Linked DNA regions of Elephas maximus indicus. The protein of the gene in region 2 interacts with the protein of the main gene of each other region in a biochemical or structural test. Links are inferred from orthologs where the notes say so. Each region holds a gene or a part of one and is shown on either strand. Other genes may lie near its edges. The genes, in order: FGF14 and SCN8A.

Region 1 (10,653 bases), on a different chromosome or scaffold from region 2:
TAAATTCATGACTCTGTTACTTGATTTTTTCATACCAACATGATTATATAGCAGTGCTCTGAAGTTCCTCCCAGGAACCTTGGTCCAAACCACCCATACTTATCCATAATGTAAAGAATTGGGATTAACTGGTAAATTATCCCATAACTTTCAAAGATCGGGGAGAAAAATTAATCTAGCATTTATCGCTGAAATAGTAAGTTGTTTTACATCGAGTTCATGATCACAGTAGTGGTACTTGGCAGTATTCTACCAACTCGCAGTTGGAAACCAGTTAATTGTCACCTTTTTAGACTTATGATAGCATAATAGGTAGCAGTCAATCTGTTCTTTTTGGTTTTAACAGTTAAGAGGAGTTTGGTCTTTGTTGTGTTTTAATTACCCAATCAATTACTGTCTTAGTTGTACTGCTATCTTGGGATCAAAAACCTGCAAACGATTCTAGGTTTCATTTTAATAGGAAAAGGGGAACGGATCTCATCAAGTACAATGCTGAAAGGGGATGGCTAGGTATGGGTTTGATTCAAGCTTGGGAGGCAAAAACGTTTAGAAGGTGAGATAAATTGCCTGACACATTAATGTCCCATTTAAGAAATAGTTACTAAATGTCCCAACTCTCAAGTTAGAATTCTAATCTCTGGCACTCTAAGGCTACACCATTGTATTAGGAAGAGTTGGTGATGTTGTTAGACACACTTTGAATTAACCCATCAATTCACACCCAAGTCCTTTAGTACCCATAAGCTGCAAAATAAATTGCTCTGAGAATAGTTTGTCATTTGTTTGACACCTTCCAAAACGACTTGGAAAAAAAAGAAATCTGCTTTCTTCCAGAGAGATGAAAGTGGGTGGGGTGGGGGAGGTGTAATAAAAAGATCTTGGATCATGTGTAGGGGGAAATTAATGTTTCCAGCAAAACTGTTTACAAAGAAAGAAAGAAAGAAAGCCATAAAGACCAGCAAAAAAACTCACTGTTGTGTGCTGAATTATTTCTCACTCTCCAGGACTATGGAAGGACTGACCTCAAGGTCCCTAGACAAATGGCCAAGCGTAAAAAAAAAAAAAAGTGTTTTTCACAGTATTTCTTTCTCTGAATGAGCTAGATCTCTTCACAGAAAGACTCAAGAAGACTTCCAAAACCAGTATTTCTGTCCTGGGAAGGAGTTACCCCTCCCTTGCAACTGCAACCCCACTTCAGGGAATCTTGAATAAAGGGTCCTCACAGTAAGTTGTAGGATGGCGTTATAGATGGACACCGGGTTTTTATGACCAGCCATCAGCAAGTGCTAGGTCTGATGCCAGGCGTTGGGGTACACCTCACAGCTACACTAGAAATGTGAACGGTAAGGCGGTAACATTGCTCTCTCCTTGAGTAATTCTTAGGCTGAGGGTATCATTTCAGAGTTGCTAATCGCTGACAGTTAAGAAAGAGAAGGGTAAAAGGACAGGGTGCTGGGAAGGAGGAGGGAACAGAGAAGGATGGCTAGGAAGGCGGTGGAGAGGAAAGCTAGACACAAAGGAGAATTCCAGGGCAGAGGCCAAGAGCCCACTGCAGCACGGGGCCCGCGGGCGGCAGAGGCTGCTTCCAGCTCCGGCCGTTGCCAGGCGTCCTCCGCCCGAGCCGGCGAGCTTCGGTCCTTTTGGACGGTCCAACAACTCACAGTTTCCCTTTTGCTGCAGAAGCGGTGGCCGCAAAGGGTGCCCAGGCTTCACACCGCCGCCTGCACCCCGGCCCCCTACACCTCCTCCTCTCCCTCCCGCTGCACCCCGAGGCGGCAGCCCCCACCCAGCGCACCACCGAGCTACGTGGCATTTGCGAGACTCGGAGGATGGGAGGCAGCAGCCACTTGCTGCCCAGTCGCTGGGGCTCCGGGTGCCAGGCGGCCCCGGCTGGGCTCCGGGTGTCAGGGAGCCAGCGGAGAGCTATGATCTACTACACCGCAGTGCCAGCGTCAGGAGCCTCCAGCGCCCGGGCCGCCACTGCAGGACGGCCGCCCGACCGTCCCCTCCCCCAGTACAGCCCCAAACCCCAGCGCTCGGCCCCAGGTCCTCCCCACCCTGGACGCAGCCGGGGGGGCGCCACACGCCGCCCGCTGCCAGTGCGTGCCGGTTCCGGGAAGGCTGCGCCCAGCTCCTCGCCGGCGCCGCCGCCGCCACCACGCAGTCCTCCCGCCTCCCCTCCCCCGGCTTGCTCTCCCACCGCTACGCGGCCGCCCCCAAACGCTTCAGACTGCGATACAGGAAAGTGAGCCCCTGGGATCCGACTCCCCGAATCACCTGTATTTGCATTTCTTATGTAATGTACTCCAAGTTTCCCCTTTGGAGCCCTTTGGAATCGGGGCGCATGATCACCCGCACCCTAAAGCAAGGACTCCCGGGCCCGGAGGCACAGTTTTGATACTGCTTTTTAAAAGGAAAATTTAAATTACACATATTAGAGGGGCTGGACTTGTCTACCCGGTCTGGGTTTCCCTCCGGGCACAAACCCTGCTCCAGTATTCCCAGTAGCAGGACGTGTCAGGGGCAGACCCGGGGAATGAGTTAATACTTGGGCACAGAGAGCCAGACGGGGGAGGGAGGCGGGGGCTGACGGAGGAGCGGGGACACGAGGGAGGGGGCCTCTTTTACTTTGGTAAAGGTGATCGGGGTGGCGAATATTGTGCAAGCTAGCCAGAAAGTCTAGAGCAGATTCCCAGCACCGAGCTATGTCTCCGAACCTGCAGCAGAAGTCAGGAAAACTCCGGTTCTTCTTCCTGCCAACTACCAAAAGCTTCGGCTGTCTGGGGCAGAAACCTTAAGCCATAGCCCTTGAATATTCCACCGAACATAGGCAACCAAATACATTAAAAAAAAAAAAGAAAGAAAGAAAGAAAAGAAAAAGTTTCCTCCTCCCTCCTAGTGATGGATTGTGTCACAGCCAAGAGATGCTGATAATGGTTTTCGGGTTCACAGACGCCCATCCAGCTGTAACTTGATTATTCATGCAACAGCTCTATATGCAACACGGTCCTGGTTCCATTTATGTTTCCCCTGCCTGCCTGCCTGCATAGCAGAACTGCAGAGCTAGCTCCATGAGCAACAGACAGGTTATAATGAGGAAAAACATAACATGAGGCATGTTTTGCTTACCAGTTGGGTTCTTGTTTTTCTTAAGACTCTTGCCACAAAGACACTGCAGCATATGCGTTCCTTTGCTGAAAATGTTCCAAAGAAACCACATGGATTTGGGCGAAAAGCAATCCAGCAGCTTAGACACCCTGAGAAAGAAGAGATCCTTGTGGTTGCATAATAATAATTTGAAATCAGTTCTCCTGAAGAGGGGCGCCGGTTTTACCATAGGAAAAACGGTAATATTCCGGATCTTCTCCCAGTTTTCTCCCCTCACGTGGTATATTTCTTTGAGACTTCTCAGTGATTGTTTTTTTTCGGCCAGGGTGAATGACTTATCCCCCTTGATCACCACTGGATTATTACCGAAGGGTTGGAAAAAAAATCCTTTTTCAGCATGAAGCCAAACAAAAAAGCAAAGAAATCCCAACTGAGGCCAAAACTAATCAGAGAGAACAGTAATGCACAAAAGATCCCCAAAGAGACAACCATAGCCTTTTACTTGGTCGCTGTGAGGATGGGTCCATCTGCAGAAGCCAAAGCAGGACTCATCTTACTGAGAGAAGGCTGCCATTGTGTAGTCCCTAGGAGAGAAGGAAAAAGAAAAAAAGGAGGGGGGAATAAAAGAAAAGAAAAAAGAAAGGGAGAAAGAAAAAAGAAAGAAAAAAAGGGGGGGGGAAGAAAAGCCACCACACACACACACACCAATACCACCTCGGAGACTGAGTCTGACAGCCGAAGACAGAGCCTCCTTTCTCCAAGTGTCGTTTTTTTTTTTTTTTTAATAATCAATCTCCAGTGATGAGTAGGATCGGATTGAACCTGCAGTTCTCAATCCCCACGAAGAAAAGAGGCCAGTCTGGGTGCCCCCTCCCCTTGTTAAGCGGGTAGCAGGCTGGCAGAGAGCGCCACAGACCCCCTTCCTCCTTCCTCTCCCTCGGCCGCTTTCCACCACCGGTGAGCACGAGGAAAATCCCCCTCCGGATCTCGCCAGCCTCGGCTGTGAGTTACAGGCATTAGAGGGAGGAGGAGGAGGAGTTGAAGTTTGCATTGAAAAGACTGGCTTTCCATGACGTAGCCACGTGCTTTCAGACCCGTCACCAGTGAGATGCTCCAACCAGCCCGGGGAGGGCAGCGTCACTGCAGTCTCTGTGCTCCGGGCCTCTCAGGCTCCCCACCCGCCAGCACCCAGCCCAGCCCCAGCGCTCGACCCTCTCCCCTCTTCTGCCAAGCCCGGATCTGCCCGCCGTTTCCTCTTGGAGCCAAACTAACAGAGCCTTCTGCTGAGGCTTTAGAAAGAAAAATTAACAACTATAATCAGTAAACCTTAGAAAATGAATGTTTGGGGGAAAAGAAAGAGAAGCTGGAGTGTAACACCACTCCACATGGCCAAAATTAATTCCACCTTTACATTCTCAAAAGCACCTCGGAAACATTAAGGGAAGTCCTTGCAAGTTCCTTTAATTCTTATTATTTGAATCATACTTTGCTGTGTGGTTTGAAAAATATAAGCTAGGTATATGGCAAATATTTATGTCGATAAACAGCCTGCTTAAAGGGAAACCACTAATATGTTGGGGTCAACTCTATTTTGGTGGGGAGGGTCAGATTCACATGAGAAATATATGCCTTTTCTAGTCCAACTACCCATTGTCTTCAAATATTTTGTACAGAAAGAACTCGGCTTAAATCAAATCCTACTTCATTGCTTGTTTCTGTATCCATTAATTGAACTAGCATTAAACTCACCTTCGTTTACTTCTCATTTATGTCAATATTGCAACCTTGTTGTCTGCCAATAGCCTAACAAAATTTTCACCAACATCCATTTTACTGCTTTCCCCCCAAATTAAAGGATTTCGGGCCGAGTTACTGGTTTATTTTATTTGGGAAAAATTACAATGCATACGGTCATGCAAACTATTACAAAAAGTATTGTAATTAACTCCAGCATATCTAAACTCAAAATTATTAAACACCAGCACTGTTGTGAGCCAATGGTTTTGGAGAAGCAGTGGTGACCATTCTCACTCACTCTGGGTGAATGAATTAAAGTTATACCAGCATTCTTCCATTTTTATGGGAAAACTGGAAGAAAATTTTAACTCTCATTTAAAATATATTTTAGAAAGTCCATCTGAATTACAAATCTTAAAAGCGCTGCCTCTTCTACATGGCATATCATACCACTCTATAATAGATGTAGCTGTAGATTTACGTTGTTGGAGACTGAGAGAAGAGAATAATTTTAAAGAAAAGTAACTCCTTGATTATCAGATGTTAAAAAATGAAAATGTAATTAACAACTTTCCTATCGATGGCTTTTTCTAGTATTTAAAAAGCATGCTGAACTTCTAATGTCGATGGTCTTGATGTGCCAAAAGACTTGTGCCAACCAAAAAAACCTTAAAAACCTGTTTCAGTCAATTCCGACTCATCACAACCATATAGGACAGAGTAGAACTGCCCCATAGAGTTTCCAAGGAGCACCTGGTGGATTTGGACTGCTGACCTTTTTGGTTAGCAGCCCTAGCTCTTAATCACTACACCACCAGGGTTTCGAACAGTTCAAAGAAATTACTAAAATTCACTGCAGTCTGATTAAAGTTTGGGAAGTAAAGAAAGAAGGAATGCTGAGAATATATGACTTTAATGCCAAATGACTTCCCAATAAGAAGTGGACTGAATAAAAAAAATGACCAGAATTATTTTCTGAAAGATGAAAAATAGAATACCATTACCAAATAATTAGGGAAAGAATTTGTATATCAATCAATCAGGGACAATTACCATATGCCGCTTCTATAACATTCTGGTGTCCTGTAGGGGATTCCAGAATATCCCAGCATATTACTTCTGAACATATACATATGCCAGAGAAACAGTTGAATAAAAATTATTCCCCTGTTCAGGTCTTCTGAACTGTATCCACCCAGCTCTGGGGTTCTGTGAGCCTTGTTGAGTTGCCTGATGTATTTCACCTGAGTAAAGCTTTAAATCATGTTCTATAAGTATTGGGTCTTTTTATATGCTAAATTTATCCAAAGACACTATTTCTTAGTCAAATTATTCTTGCATTCCCAAATTCTTGTCTCATTTCTACATTGTGAAAATGAATAAGTTGCCTATTAAAATAATGAATGAGTGCCAGAAAGCTATGGTTTGTTTTGTAGTATACTGGTGGAAAACTTATTTCCTCTTTGTCCTGTAACCTACAGAACATAAGCAATAATTAACTGTGACTACTATTTATTGAGAAGCTTTTGTGCCAGGCACTGCATTAGTTGATTCTTATTTTTTATACCACTTAAAGGAAAGAGAAAAATTTTATTGCAATGCGCAAAAATTTCCTTTTATATACCTACTGGGAAAATCCTGGAGGCGTAGTGGTTAAGTGCTACGGCTGCTAACCAAAGGGTTGGCAGTTCAAATCCGCCAGGCACTCCTTGGAAACTCTATGGGGCAGTTCTACTCTGTTCTATAGGGTCACTATGAGTCGGAATCAACTCGATGGCACTGGGTCTGGTCTGGGTCATATTTAAGAGAAAAATTTAGGTATGTTTTGTAGGCTATTATTCACATTATTAAAGTAATATTTCAGTCCAGAAAAGGTGTGTAACACCAATTCCGGTTACCTTTGGTTCAGAGGACCTACAATTTCTCATGGGTTCTAAGTGGCCCAGTTCACTTATTCAATTAATATTTATTAAGCTTTCTACCATGTGAAGGTAGGAGCCCCGGAAGTGCAGTGGTTAACCCTTTGCTGTCAGTGGATTCTGACTTATAAGGACCCTATAGGACAGAATAAAGGTAGGGTTTTTACTAGGGATAGAAAAAGAACACCAACTTGTATACAAGGACCTCACTGTCTATATTTACCTCTTTTAAAAAGATGAAATCTTTTGTTTCTGACACACGTATTCCTTTTCTATAGTGGCCCTATAGGTCAGAGTAGAACTGCCATAAAGGTTGGCCATTTGAAGGCAGGAGCCACTCCTTGGAAATGCTATGGGGCAGTTCTACCCTGTCCTATAGGGTCACTATGAGCTGGAATCGACTCAACAGCAATGGGTTTGTTTTTTTTTTTTTTTTTAATGTGATGGTAACTGTATGAGATTTCATGCTAGACATTAAGATGTATCAGTCATAGTTACACAATAAAGAAGATCAAGGGTGGTGTAGAGCCAACCCTAGTTTCTGGGGCCTCCAGATTAGGGATGGTCCAAAGGTACTTGTATTTACACCAACCTGAGTTCCAGACAGTCAATCAGGTTTTGTTTGGGAAGACATTAAAACGTTTGCTTACCCTTTGCCATGACACATTCAAATCAATATTAGATGACAGAAATGAAAACAATTAAAAAGTAAATGCAAGTTTTAGAATGGACGAAAGTAAAAATAGGATCAGGAAAGCCTCATGGTAACCATACAAATTGACAGTAAAATTTGTAGTGTATATAAGTAGAAAAATATATAAGACTGCATTTTCACGGGCTAAAATAAAATAAACTCATAATCACATTAATTTAAAAATTAAAATTATCTTCATATGCAAGTAAACCAAGCTAGAAATAAGTGTAATGACTAGAACTTCATGAAACAATAGAACATACATTTTATTTTAAAATAGGAAATGTGAACTCTAATGAGATTAGCCATCAAAAATCTTTGAAACTATCTTAGCATGCTCCAATTGTCCCCAATTCTTACTCCTCCTTTCTTCCTTTAGTAGTAAAACACTATCCCACCACAGCTGGAAGAGCAAGAACTTGGGTTCTAAGGTAGAGAATATCATTCCCATCTTCCATGGTAGCTAAGTGTGGCCATGTGACTAAATTATGACCAGCGAGATGTAGCAGAAGTGATATGTTCAACTTCCTGGCCACATTCTTCAGAGGAAGTTGCTTGCCTATCGCTTCTCTCTTTCATCCTTCCTGTGAGCTGGAAATTACTGGGATTGACAGCGTGGACAGAAACACAAACTCAGAAACTGTGAAGTGTCAAGATAGGAGAAACCTAGGACCTTGGACAGAGCCATCCCTTATCCTGGACTGCCCACCTACCTGTGGACTACTATGTGACAGGGAAATAAGCTTGTATCTTAGTTGATCCTCTGTATTTTTGTCTGAACTTGATACAACGGTTCATCCTCTCCACTATCTTATATACTGGCCTGGTATTAATAACATACTTGTATCTCGGTTTTTTTTTACTTATTTTAAAAGGATATAACTTATAACCCACAGCTTTGGGGGCAGTGACGGTTCAGTGGTAGAATTCTCGCCTTCCATGCAGGAGACCAGGTTTAATCCAGTGTGATTTCCACCTCATGTGCAGCCAGCACTCATCTCTCAGTGGAGTCTTGCAGATTGCTATGATTCTGAACAGATTCCAGCAAAGCTTCCAGACTAGGACAGACTAGAAAGAAAGGCCTGGCCATCTACTTCTGAAAATCCTATGGATGGAAACCCTATGGATCACAACGGTCTGATCCCCAACCAACCATGAGGATGGCGCAGGACTGGGCAGTATTTCTTTCCATTGTGTGTGGGGTCGCCATAAGTCCAAACCATAAAAACCAAGCCCATTGCCATCAAGTGGATTCTGACTTATAATGACCCTATAGGACAGAGTAGAACGGCCCCGTACGGTTTGGACTATAGAAATACAAAAAGAAGACCAACTTGTATACAAGGACCTCAGTGTCTATATTTAACTCGTTTAAAAAAGATGAAAACTTTTGTTTCTGGCACACACATTCCTTCTCTATAGTGACCCCATAGGTCAGAGTAGAACTGCTGCAAAACTGCCACAGAGGGTTTCCAAGAAGCAGCTGGTGGATTTGAACTCCAACCTTTTGATTAGCAGCTGTAGCTCTTAACCACTACGCCACCAGGATTTCCATTCTTCTCTACAACTGGTGCTAATTATTATCACTTTTTGAGGAGCAAATCTAAATTTCACATCACTATTTTTTTATACTGCTTTCTCTCCCTGTTGCAACGTTGACTGACCCGTAGCACAGAAAACCTCTGCTCCTCTCTCCTGGAAGGAACAGTCTGGGAAGGTAAGTGTAGCCCTTTTCTCTTCCCCCTGCCAACTTCTCAAGACAGCAGGAATTAACTGAGGTGGCCCAGCCCCTCTTCTCTTTGTCATCTGCCTGCTTTTTCTCTACATGGGAAGAGTTGGGTTAGGCACAGTACCCAAGGCCTGCCTTCGAGAAGCAGATGAGAAGAGCAATCTCTCTCCGACCCTTTATTGGGGCTGGTAGCAGACATCTTCAATGCCCCACACATACACTTTTATCTACCCTATCAGTGTGCTCTGATCAGTATCTCCATCTCTGAACCTGAGGGATTTTTTCGTCCAAACAACCCTATGCCCAGGCACTCACAGAGGCCAGAAAGACCTGGAAATTAACATTCCCTGGGAGAATTCCTCAATGACTAAAGGCCCTGCGTTCCTTGCCCCTTGGGAGGGGTAATTAGGAGGCATGTGTTTTACATCCTTTCCCGGTTTCCCTGAGGGATTAAAATACAGTCTCCCACTGGGTTAGCTGCCTAAACAACACATTCTCTGTTGGCTCTCTCCCCTTGCTTGTATCAATTCCCTACTGCCTTAGTTTCTTAGTGCTGCTGTAACAGGGCACTGGCTCTAGGGGGAGGCTTTATCTCTCTGTAGGCTCTGGGGGAAGGTCCTTGGCTCTTTTCAGTTTCTGTTCCTCAGTTCCTTGGCCATTTTCAAGAGTTGTGTCATCTGTCTTCCCCCATCTGTGCTTGCTTTCTTCTGGGACTAATCTGTTCTTTTTATATCTCAAAAGTGATTAGTTTCAAACATACCCTACACTTTGTCATTAAGGTAACAAAGAAAACCCTATTCCCAAAAGAGTTTACATTAACAGATATAAAATTAAAAAAAAAAAAAGAACCCTGTTGCCATCTAGTTGATTTCAACTCATAGCAACCCTATAGGACAGAACAGAACTGTCCCATAGGGTGTCCAAGGAGCAGCTGGTGGATTTGAACTGCTGACCTTTTGGTTAGCAGCCGAATGCTTAACCACTGCGCCACCAGGGCTCCAACAAGTATAGAGGTTAGGATTTACAACACATATATTTGAGGAGCACAATTCAATCAATGACAACTACTTACCTACCTGTATTCCCTGCCAAATAACCTAGTTGCACTAGAATCTTTGTCCTCTGGGGAACTCAGTGAAGACAGTGTTTAATAAGGAAGGCAGAGTTTCTGGGTAAATATGCCTACTCTCCAGATACAAAGTCTTACTTGGGTGGTGTCTTAGTGGTGTTATAACAGAAATAACACAATTGGATGGCTTTAACAAACAATTAATTTTCTTGCAGTTTAGGAGGCTAGTGTTCAAATTCAGGGCACCAGCTGTAGAAAAAAGACTTTCTCTGTGGCCCGGTGGTTAAGTGCTACAGCTGTTAACCAAGAAGTCGGCAGTTCAAATCCGCCAGGCGCTTCTTGGAAACTCTTACCGGGCAGTTCTACTCCGTCCTACAGAGTCACTATGAGTTGGAAT
Region 2 (10,805 bases):
AGACTGAAGAAATACAACAAAACATGAACAACTGCTTTGGTTAGGACGGATAATACTAAGGATGACTCCCTCTGTTTTTAGACACATTAAAAATTTTCTGAAGTATATGTTATTTTTATAAAAAATATGGTAACTGATCTCACACTAGATAAACTTTGTTATTTTTAACACTTTGTATGCAAACCAAAAAAATGGAAACCCTGGTGGCATAGTGGTTAAGTGCTATGGCTGCTAACCAAAGAGCCAGCAGTTCGAATCCGCCAGGCGCTCCTTGGGAACTCTATGGGGCAGTTCTACTCTGTCCTACAGGGTCGCTATAAGTCGGAATCAACTCAACGGCAGGGGGTTTGGTTTTTTTGGTTTTGTTAGATATAATCTACAGAAATTAAATATTAATTCATGTGTGTGCCTTCCAGAACAACTTGTTACATAATATCAGTACATTAAAGACATTGTCTTCCATTCATGGAATGTTTTTCCTGCTTTTAGGTGGGCATGTCTCTTTGCATTCTCTTCAAGCAGGTGTGGGTTTCTTGTGTAATCTCTACAGAACATCAATTCTCAACCTTTTCCTGGTAATCGTCACAAGAATGACATTTGCCCCTGGTATAGCCCCAACTGATATGTCTTTTAACTTCATGTTAAATGAGATTAAAGTGCTTCGATCACAGTGGACCCCAAATGGAATGATCCGTCTTATGTGGTAGTGACTTCCCTCTCGGTGGAAATATTCAAAGCAGAAATTTCCTATAGAAGGGATTCCTGTGCTGGGTGGGTGGTTGTACAAGCTCAATTTTACAGCCCCCCTTTCTATGATTTTAAAAGAAATTTTGTGACAAATCTACTTTTATGATACAATGGATCACACACTGGCCTCTTATATGAGCCTCTTTCCCAGCTCACTGTTCAAATCAACCCAGGAAAGATGCCCTTCTGATCCCAGCTTAATTTAGCGAGCTAATTATAATTACTTCTTCATGGGGAAAAAATTCCCATAATATTAACAGTTTCCTGCTATTTGAAGTTATTGAAATGTGCTGAAATAATGCTGTCAGCAAAATGTCATTGTATGACTTACATATGGATCTGCTGCAGTCTGCAAAACATTGTCTCCATGAGGGACAGCCAAAATGAAGTTATGTGGGAGTAATAAAATATGATAACTATGCCTTCAACCACAAATACAAACCCAAGTGCGCATGCACACACACACACATCCACAGGAAAATCTGCGGGTAATAAAAACAAAGGAAAACCCAGATCAAGTCCAACACTGAGCACCTCACCACAGTGCTAACCAGGGAACTGTCCGTTCAGCACTACGGCCAGAAACCCTAGCACGAGCCTAAGCACAGGCATCCACAGCTGGGCCACGAGAACATTTTGCAAAGGGTCCCAAAAGGAAAGCTGCAAGCAATTGCATGGCTGTTTCAGTATGCCATATTCCACTTCATTGGCCTTTATTAACTTAAAGTAAAATCTCCCAAATATTTTATTGAAAGTCGACAAAACCCCAAATAAGAACCAAAGACATATTAAGTCAGCCTCTTTTCTCAAACTGAACCCAGGAAACCAATAACTGACCTGCAACATCAAGATTTGCTTTGCAATACCCACAACTAAGAAACATAGCATATTTATATACACCATGAATCAGATGTTCAGAGAACACAGAACATGCTTGCAGCCCTCTCCAAGGAGAGCTTTAATTTCTAGGACAGAGAATGCTTGCTGCACACCAAACCACCATTACCACCTCCCTCTCAAGCAATCAAATCCTCTTTCAGAGAGAACTGAAGGCCTTATGGGTCATGAGTTCCAAAGAAAAAATGCTGCAGTATTTCAAGAACCAGGTTACAGGCAATGTGCTACAAAGCTTTCAGCATTTTAAGTCTTATTCTCCTGAGATTCCTGACAGGGTGGTACCAGGTGGTAATGTTATCCAGCCATTTGCATTACACATCGGAAAAAAAAAGTTAATGAGTGGGGTAAAGCCCCCTTCATATCTGCTAACACACATGGAGAAAAGAGAAGTACAGAGATTGTGAGACAGTGAAAAGCCTACCTGGAATCCCCTTGGAAAGCTAAAATATTCCCCAGCCCTGACACACACTTAACTCTCTAAAGGCTCTCCAGGTTCAAACTTGAGAAAACAGTTATAAAAAGCACTCTCTCCCTTTGCCCCCAAAGCCCTCATCCACACTTTGTGCTTCATCCCCGTTTCTCTGGTGCCCACTGTGTGTTAAAAACAGTTCTCCTTGTATGGTTGGGCTCGATCCGTAGTAATTATCTCTCCCCCCTCTGAATTTTTTTTTGCCTCTGAATTTAGCCAGATGCAACTGCAAAGTTTCTTCTATTTCCCCCACCTCCCAAAAAACAGATGACATCCTCTTATTACGAACACTTATGCCGAATGTTGGAACCTCCGGAAGGAAAATGTATTCTTCTCCCATGCTTCAAAAACTGCAGTGTAAGTGAAGATGAGGGCATAGGGTGGAGTAGTTGGAAGGAATGCATGATTTGAATAATTACATTTATCAGGCTGAAAAACGACTCCCACTCCACCCCTCCTCAAAGCTAGGGCCCCTGAAGGGGTCCCAAAGTCCTCGCTAACCCCCGCCCCCCGAAAGTTAACTGCAAGTCTCCACCGGTGGTTGCTGCTGGCATTGAGGGGATAGAGCAAAGCTCTCAGGCAAAATGCAGAGACTTTGCGGTCCCCCAAGATTCCAAGAGAGGACTAGAGAGGAGGGGTCGAAGCCCGTGGAGCTGGACAAACAGTCCTGTAACCCTAACGCTAACAAGAAGCCCAGAGTGCTCCTGCTGCTGCTGCTGCTGCTGCTGCTGCTGGTAGGTGGGGGATGGAAGGGAGAGAGGAGGAGGGGAATAAGCTCCGCATCGGGTGGCGTAGGGGTGGGGGTGGGGGTGGGGGAAGGGGATATTCTGAAAGTGTATGTATTCTATAATGCAGGAATCCTGGCCTGCCGAGGAAGGTCCCGGGGCGGGGGGGCCCCAACATAGCCCCCGAGCATCCTGCTGGGCGGGGGACGGGCGCATCCGAGTAAAGGACGGGGGACTCCTGGTTGCCCATAGAACCCAGGAGCCCCTGGCTTCTGCAGCTGCTAACAATCTGGAGCCGAATGAGGGAGATGGATGCAGTAAGACATGGGGGAAGGGACAGAGCTGAGAGGCTGCTGTAAGAACATTCTGACAGCGCTGCCCTTCCCGATGCAGCCCCTCGGCACTGGGGGCTGGGCTGGGGGTTGCAGCACCGAGGGGCGCCGAAGCCAGGCCCGTGCCCCCCAGTGTAGTCGAGACAAGAAGAGAGCGAGGACTTACAGGGAATGGGGGCTGGTGGTCCTCAGTTATCCTAAGGGGTCCCCGGTAAAAAAGGTAGAGGGAGACCAAGGCTTCCAAACACCTGTCCAAAACAGGGAGGGCAGAAAGCCGATGGCCCTCCGAGCCCCGCCGCGCACTCTGCGGCAGAGCCCCTGACTAGAGGTGGGCGAGACCGGCTCAGGGGTCCCGGGGCGAGAAGGGGAAGCCGGCAGGCGAGGAGCAGCGCCGGGGCAGGGGCTCCGGGGTGACTTACGGCAGCTGCGGCGAGGGAGGCAGCGGCGGCCCTAGCGCGGGGCCCGGGAGGTGCAGCCGGACTGCAGAGGCGCCGGGGCTGCGGCGAGCGGGACTGCGGTGGGCGCCATCTTGGAGCGCTCCCCGCGCCCGCCCCCCGCGCCGCCCGAGTCCTTGCATAATTGATGACTCGCGCCCGCCGCGCGCCACCGCGCGCGCACCCCGCCCTCCGGGCCCCCCGCCCGCCCGCCCGCTCCGCCCCCGCGCGGTGGACCCTCCGTGCGCGCCCCCTGCTCGCCCCGGCCCCCGCCCGCGCGCTCACCGCCCCCGCCCGCGCCCCCGGGGCCCACCTACCCCAGCGGGGCGCGTCCGCTCGTCCGCAGCGGAGAGCGCCGCCGGTCCACCCGCTCGCAGGCTCTCAGGCCGGCGTCCCCGCGCCGCCAGGACCGGATCCGGGGCGAGGGAGCAGGGCACCAGCAGGGGGCGCCGCGCTGGAGCGCCTGGCGAGCGTCCCCGGGCCCGCCTCCCTGACGCCCCCGCCGAGCCGCGCGGGAGGGGCTCCGGGACTGAGGGCCGGCCGGCACGTGGCTGCGAGACGCCGGCGGTTGGTCTGCCGGCACCTGGGCGTTTAAAACAAAAAGGTGTTATGTTGATTCGTAAGCTCTGTGACCCTTGTAAATGCCAAATATTACCTTTTTCCTGAATAGCACTCACAGAAGGAAATGCCCAGTACTATTGGCAATGCTCAGTTGTTGGAGTTTCTGACTTCTGTAAACACCAGGGACTCATTTTGCATGATCTTTAACCAAGTAAAAGACACAGAAGTCTATCAAGAGCAGTTGGAGGCTTATGATTCAGTGGACAGGACCCCGGTATGAGGATTTGGGAGACACTGCTTCCATGCCCAGCCCTGATAGCCGCCGGGTCTGAAATGTGTAAACCAAAAACCAAACCCATTGCCGTCCGGTAGATTCTGACTCGTAGCGACCCTATAGGACAGAGTAGAACTGCCGTATAAGGTTTCCAAGGAGCACCTGGTGGATTCGAACTTCCAACCTTTTGGTTAGCAGCCATGGCTCTTAATCACTACGCCACCAGGGTTTCCTGAAGTTGTGTTGAGGTCGCCTTAATCTTTTTGAACCTCAGTTTGTGCATCTCTAAAGTAGGCACAGGAAACCCTGGTGGCGTAGTGATAAGTGCTATGGCTGCAAAAGGTACACAGTTCGAATTCACCAGGAGCCTCTTGGAAACTCTATGGAACAAGGACTTAAACTATTTCACACTCTTAGGACCAAAACCAAACCCACTGCTGTCGAATCGATTCCGACTCATAGTGACCCTGTAAGGCAGGGTAGAAGTGCCCCATAGAGTTTCCAAGGAGCACCTGGCAGGTTCGAACTCCTGACCTTTTGATTAGCAGCTGTAGCACTTAACCACTACGCTACCAGGCTTTCCCATGCTTAGGAGGATCTAGATAAATTAATGTGAGAACTCTTAGCACTTTATTGTGTCTCTCTTCTACATGATGTTTCTTTCTATCACAAATTCACAGTTAAGAGTGTAAGAGCCGTCAGGCTACAACTTACTAACTGGTTAGCCTTGGACATGTAACAACCTAAGCATTCTTACCTGTAAAAAGGAACAACCACAGTACCAACCTGATGGGTTTATTATGAGGATAACTGTCCATCCCATGCTTATAACAACTCCTGCAACAAGATGTGCCTACCACGTAGTGAGCCCACTGCACACATTTTAATAGCTTTATTGAAATACAATTAACATGCAACAAACTGCACATATTTAGAACATACAGTTTTTACATACGTATACATGTGTGAAGCTATCATCATGATCAAAGTAAGAAAACATTTCCGTTACCTCCAAAAGTTTCTCTTGCCCCTTGGTTATCCCTTCCTGATCACCCTTCCTCACACACTCCTCCAGGCAACCTCTCATCTTCTATTACTGTACATTCGTTTGCATTTCCCAAAACTTTGAATAAAATGGAGTCACACAGTATGTACTCTCTCTTGTGTGGCTTCTTCCATTCAGCATAATTATTTTGAGATTATTTGGTTGTTGCCTATCAGTATTTCATTCCTTTTTGTTGCTGAGTAGTATTCTGTTATAGATACCACAATTGGTTTATCCATTCACCTGTTGATGACATTTACCTTATATCCAGTTTGTGGCTATTACAAGGAAACCCTGGTGACGTAGTGGTTAAGAGTTCAGCTGCTAACCAAAAGGTCGGCAGTTCTAATCTACCATGCACTCCTTGCAAACCCTATGGGGCAGTTCTACTTTGTCCTGTAGGGTTGCTATGAGTCGGAATCTCCACCGCAACAGGTTCAGGGGCTATCACAAATAAGGCTGCTAGGAACAGTTGCGTGCAAGTCTTTGTACAGACATATGCTTTTATTTCTCTAGGGTTAAGATATCTAGGAGTGGGATGACATGACTGGGTCTATTGTAGATGTATATTTAACATATTAATCGCTGAACTGCTTTCCCAAGTGGTTGTGCCACTAGCAGTGTATGTGAGTTTCCCTTGTTCCACATCCTCGCCAACATTTGGTATGGTCAGTTTTTTAATTTTAGCCATTCTAATAAGTCTGTGGAGTCCCTGGGTGGTGCAAACAGTGAAGCATGTGGCTGCTAATTGAAAGGTTGGCTATTCAAGTCTACCTAGAGGCTCCTCAGAACAAAGTCCTGGTAATCTAATTCTGAAAAATCAATCATTGAAAACCCTTCGGAGCATAATTCTACTCTGAAACACATGGGGTCACCATGAGTCAGAATCTACTCAAGGGCAACTGGCTTTTTAAAATATAGGTATGTATTATTATCCTGTCGTGGTTTTGATTGGCTTTTTTGCCATCTGTAAAGCCTCTTGGGTGAAGTGTCTGTTCTTTTCCTGCTTTTTAAAATTTGGTTGTTTCTTTTGTTATTATTGAGTTGTGAGAGTGTTTATGTATTCTGGATACACATCTTTTATCAGATATGTTATTTGCAAATGCTGTTTCCCAGTCTGGGCTTGTCTTTTTATTCTCTTAACACTGTCAGATATCAGAAGTTCTTAATTTTTATGACGTCCAATTTATTAATTTTTTCTTCAATGGGTGATGCTTTTGTTGTTGTATCTAGGAAATTTTTGCCTAACCCAAGATTACAAATATTTTTCCTATGTTTTCTTCTAGAAGTTTTAAGTTTTATATTTAGCTTTATAATGCATTTTGAATTAATTTTTATATATGGTGTGAGGTATAGTTTGAAGTTTTTTTTTTTTCCCCTGCATGGATATCTAGTTGTTCTCACACTGTTTGTTGAAAAAACTATCATTTTTTCCACTGATTACCCTTGTACTTCTGCCAAAAATCAATTAACCATGTATGTAAAGGTCTATTTCTAGACTCTCTATTCTGTTTCATTGATCTCTTTGTCTGTCTTGACACTAATACCACCCTGTCTTGATTACTCTAGCTTTATAATAAATTGTCAAGTCAGAAAGTTTAAGCCTTCCAACTTTGTTCTTCTTTTTCATTATTGATTTTGCTATTCTAGGTCTTTTGCATTTCCATATGAATTTAAGAATCAGTTTGTCAGATTCCACAAAAAAGCCTGCTGGAATTTTGATCAAGATTGCATTGAATTTATAGATCAGTTTGAGGAGAACTGACATCTTAACAAAATCGAACCTTCTGTTCTATGAACATAGTATTTCACTTCATTTATTTCAGTTTTCTTCTCTCAATGCTGTTTTGTAATTTTCAGGATACTGTTTTAGTTTTTAGGACTTCCACAACAAAATACCACAAAGTGGGAGGCTTTAAAGAACAGAAACTAATTTTCTCATAGTTCTGGAGGCTAGAAGCCCAAATCAGGGTATTACCCATGTCAATTCCTCCTGAGGACTTTGAGAGAAAAGCTATCCTACGCCTCTCTCCTAACTGCCGGCAGTCCTGTGTGTCCCCTTGCTGCTTATAGATGTACCTGCCTTCATTGCCATATGGCGTCTGTCTTGCCCCAATGTAACTCTCCATGTCTGTTCTCTCCTTTTATAAGACACTACTCAGAAAGGATTAGAACTAGGACCCATCCTACTCCAGCATGACTTAACTGATAATATCCTCAAAGAAAGACCCTATCTCCCCAAACATTGACATTCACAGATACAGGTTTAGGACTTCGACATATCTTTGTGGGGCAGGGGAGGGCATAATTCAATCCATAATACAGGTCTTGCCCATCTTTTGTGGTATTTATTCCTAAATATTTCATATTTTTATGCTATTGCATGTTGTTGTTGTTAGGTGCCATTAAGTCAGTTCTGATTCATAGCAACCCTATATACAGCAGAACGAAACACTGCCTAGTCCTGCACCATCCTCACAATTGTCGCTATCTTTGAGCCCATTGTTGCAGCCATTTGTGTCAATCCATCTCATTGAGGGACTTCCTCTTTTTCGCTGACCCTCTATTCTACCAAGGTATAGGTTGTTGTCTTTCTCCGGGGATTGGTCTCTCCTGATAACATGTCCTAAGTACGTGACATAAAGTCTTGCCATCCTTGCTTCTAAGGCATTCTGGCTGTATTTCTTCCAAGACAGATTTTTTTGTCCTTCTGGCAGTCCATGATGTATTCAATATTCTTGCCAACACCATAATTCAAAGGCATCAATTCTTCTTCAGTCTTACTTATTCGTTGTCCAGCTTTAGCGTGCTTATGAGGGGATTGAAAATACCATGGCTTAAGCTATTGCATAGTATTTGTCTTAGTCATTTCATGCTGCTATAACAGAAATACCACAAATGCATTGCTTCAACAAAGAGAAATTTATTCTCTCACAGTAAAGTAGGCTAAAAGTCCAAACTCAGTGCGTCAGCTCGATGGGAACTGTTTATTAGCTCTGGAGGAAGGTCCTCATCCACAATCTTCCCATAGTTGAGGAGTTTCTCGGGCGCAGGGACCCCAGGTCCAAAGGATGCTCTCAGCTCCTGACATTGCTTCCTTGGTGGTATGAGGTCCCCCTGACTCTCTGCTCACTTCTTTCTTTTGTATCTCAAAAGATTGCCTCAAGACACAATCCAATCTTGTAGGTTGAGTCCTGCCTCACTAACACAGCTGCTGCCCGTCCTCCCTCATTGACACCATAGAGTCAGGATTTACAACATATAGGAAAATCACACAATACGGGGAATCATGGCCCAGCCCAATTGATACACACATTTGGGGGGAACATAATTCAATCCATGACATTATTTTTATATTTCAACTTCCAGTGGTCCCTTGGTAGTATATAAAAAAACCATTGCCATCAAGTCAATTGCAACTCACAGCAACCCTATGGTAGTATATAGAAATACAATTAATTTTGGTATATTGGTCTTGTATCTGCAGCTTTGGTGAATTTATTTATTAGTTCTAGTTTGTTTTTTTGTTGATCCCTTAAGATTTTCTACATAGACCATGTTATCTGCAGATAAACAGTTTTCTTTCTTCTTCTTCAATCTGCATGCCTCTTACTCCTTTTTCTTGCCTGTTGTACTGGCTAGAACCTTCAGTACAACGTTGAATAGAAGTGGCGAAAACAGACATCTTTGTTTTGCTCCTGACCTTAGGGGAAAGTTTCCCATTTTTCACCATTAAAATGGCAGGAATAGTAATAGTAGCATCACCAGAACCTGTCTAACTCCAGGGGGGATAATGAGAATCAAGATCAACCCAAGGCTGATCCCTTATGAAGTAGAGGTCAGACATACCTCTACTCTCCAAGCTTTTTACAAATTCTGACACCAGCTGTCCCTCCCATGGCACTCTAGTTCTCTTCTGGGTTTCATAATCCGTTGCAACAGCCACACAGAACTCACAGACCATACTTACAGTTAAGTGGTTTATTAAGTAAGTAACACGGTGCAGCTCAGGATCAGGATCAATAGGCTACAACTCAGATTCAGGAAGCATGTAGGCAAAGTCTCCCTTCTTCAGTTCATGACAGTTCTCTCAGCTACTCTAGGCAGGCTTCTCTCAGCCCACTCAGGACAGGCTTTCTCTCTGCCCCCTGAGGACAGGCTCCTCTTGGCCCCCTCAGGACAGGCTCCTTTTGGCCCTGCCATCTGTTCTTGCCAGCTCTGTGTCTCTGGGCCCATTCTGGGCCTGTTGCCACTGGCTCTGCTGCTGAGCCACTTCTGAGCCTCTCACCGTCTTCAGTGTTACAGCCCTCGACAGATGTTATAGTCCTTTAGAAGGTTCCTTGACTCCTCTCTTTTTCTGCTTCTTTTCTCTTCCTTTTGCTTCTCTTGCTGCTTCTTTCTGTCTGAAAAACCTCTGTTGGGTTGGCTGCATATATACACAACTCTTTGCCAATTTCAAGGCATGGCCCCGCCCAGCAGGGGGCCACAAACTGACCAATCCCCTCTCAGTAGGCCACAGATACTTCATTTGCATAGTAGGCTACAAGTACTTAATTTGCATAGTCTATTGACCAGTTCCTGCAAGGTGCTTACCAATCACAGGGCAGGGTGCCGCCCAGGACCATACAAAATGTATCAACCCACAAGTTGTTTACAGCTTATGCAGGAAATGTCAATCAACCTGGACAAAAGTAACAAATGCTCTGGGGTAGAAAACTAGAGCAAAGGTAACTTCTCCGGGCTTAGGGGAAAAATTTCTCAAGCTGTTTTTCCAAAGAATTAAGGCAAAAGACCACCTAAAGGAACTCATTTCACCACAAGCATGATGTTAACTATATAGGCTTTCCTAGATACACTTTATCATGTTGAAGAAAGTCTCTTCTGTACCTACTTTGCTGAAGGGTTGTTTGTTTTAATCAGGAGTGGATTGAATTTTGTCAAATGCTTTTTTCTGCATGTGGGGTTTTTTTAGTCTGTTAGTATGGTGAATTAAGTCGATTGATTTTCAATGTTAAATCAACCTTGCATTCCTAGGATAATGTATTGGCCATGATGTTGTTGTTAGATGCTTCCATGGATTGAATTGTGTCCCCCCAAAATAGATGTCAGCTTGGTTAGGCCATCATTCCCAGTATTGTGTGGTTGTCCTCCATTTTGTGATTGTAATTTTATGTTAGAGAGGGTTAGGGTAGGATGTAACACCACCCTTACCCAGGTCACATCCCTGATCCAATGTAAAGGGAGTTTCCCTGGGGAGTGGCCTGCACCACCTTTTATCTCTCAAAAGATAAAAAGGAAAGGAAAGCAAGTAGAGAAGGGGA

The links.
Region 1: the proteins of SCN8A (region 2) and FGF14 form a complex in vitro, tested with the Homo sapiens proteins (2 studies listed by BioGRID). The link is inferred for Elephas maximus indicus from reciprocal best matches to the Homo sapiens genes SCN8A and FGF14.

Annotation. Positions count from the first base shown.
Region 1 is NC_064841.1:67,320,185-67,330,837, forward strand, and holds the start of FGF14 (fibroblast growth factor 14), read right to left. Parts: upstream 4,040-10,653; 5' UTR 3,338-4,039; coding exon 3,130-3,337; intron 1-3,129. UniProt on the Homo sapiens protein: Probably involved in nervous system development and function.
Region 2 is NC_064822.1:106,989,281-107,000,085, reverse strand, and holds the start of SCN8A (sodium channel protein type 8 subunit alpha), read right to left. Parts: upstream 4,019-10,805; 5' UTR 3,922-4,018; intron 3,721-3,921; exon of another isoform or gene 3,590-3,720; intron 1-3,589. UniProt on the Homo sapiens protein: Pore-forming subunit of a voltage-gated sodium channel complex assuming opened or closed conformations in response to the voltage difference across membranes and through which sodium ions selectively pass along their electrochemical gradient.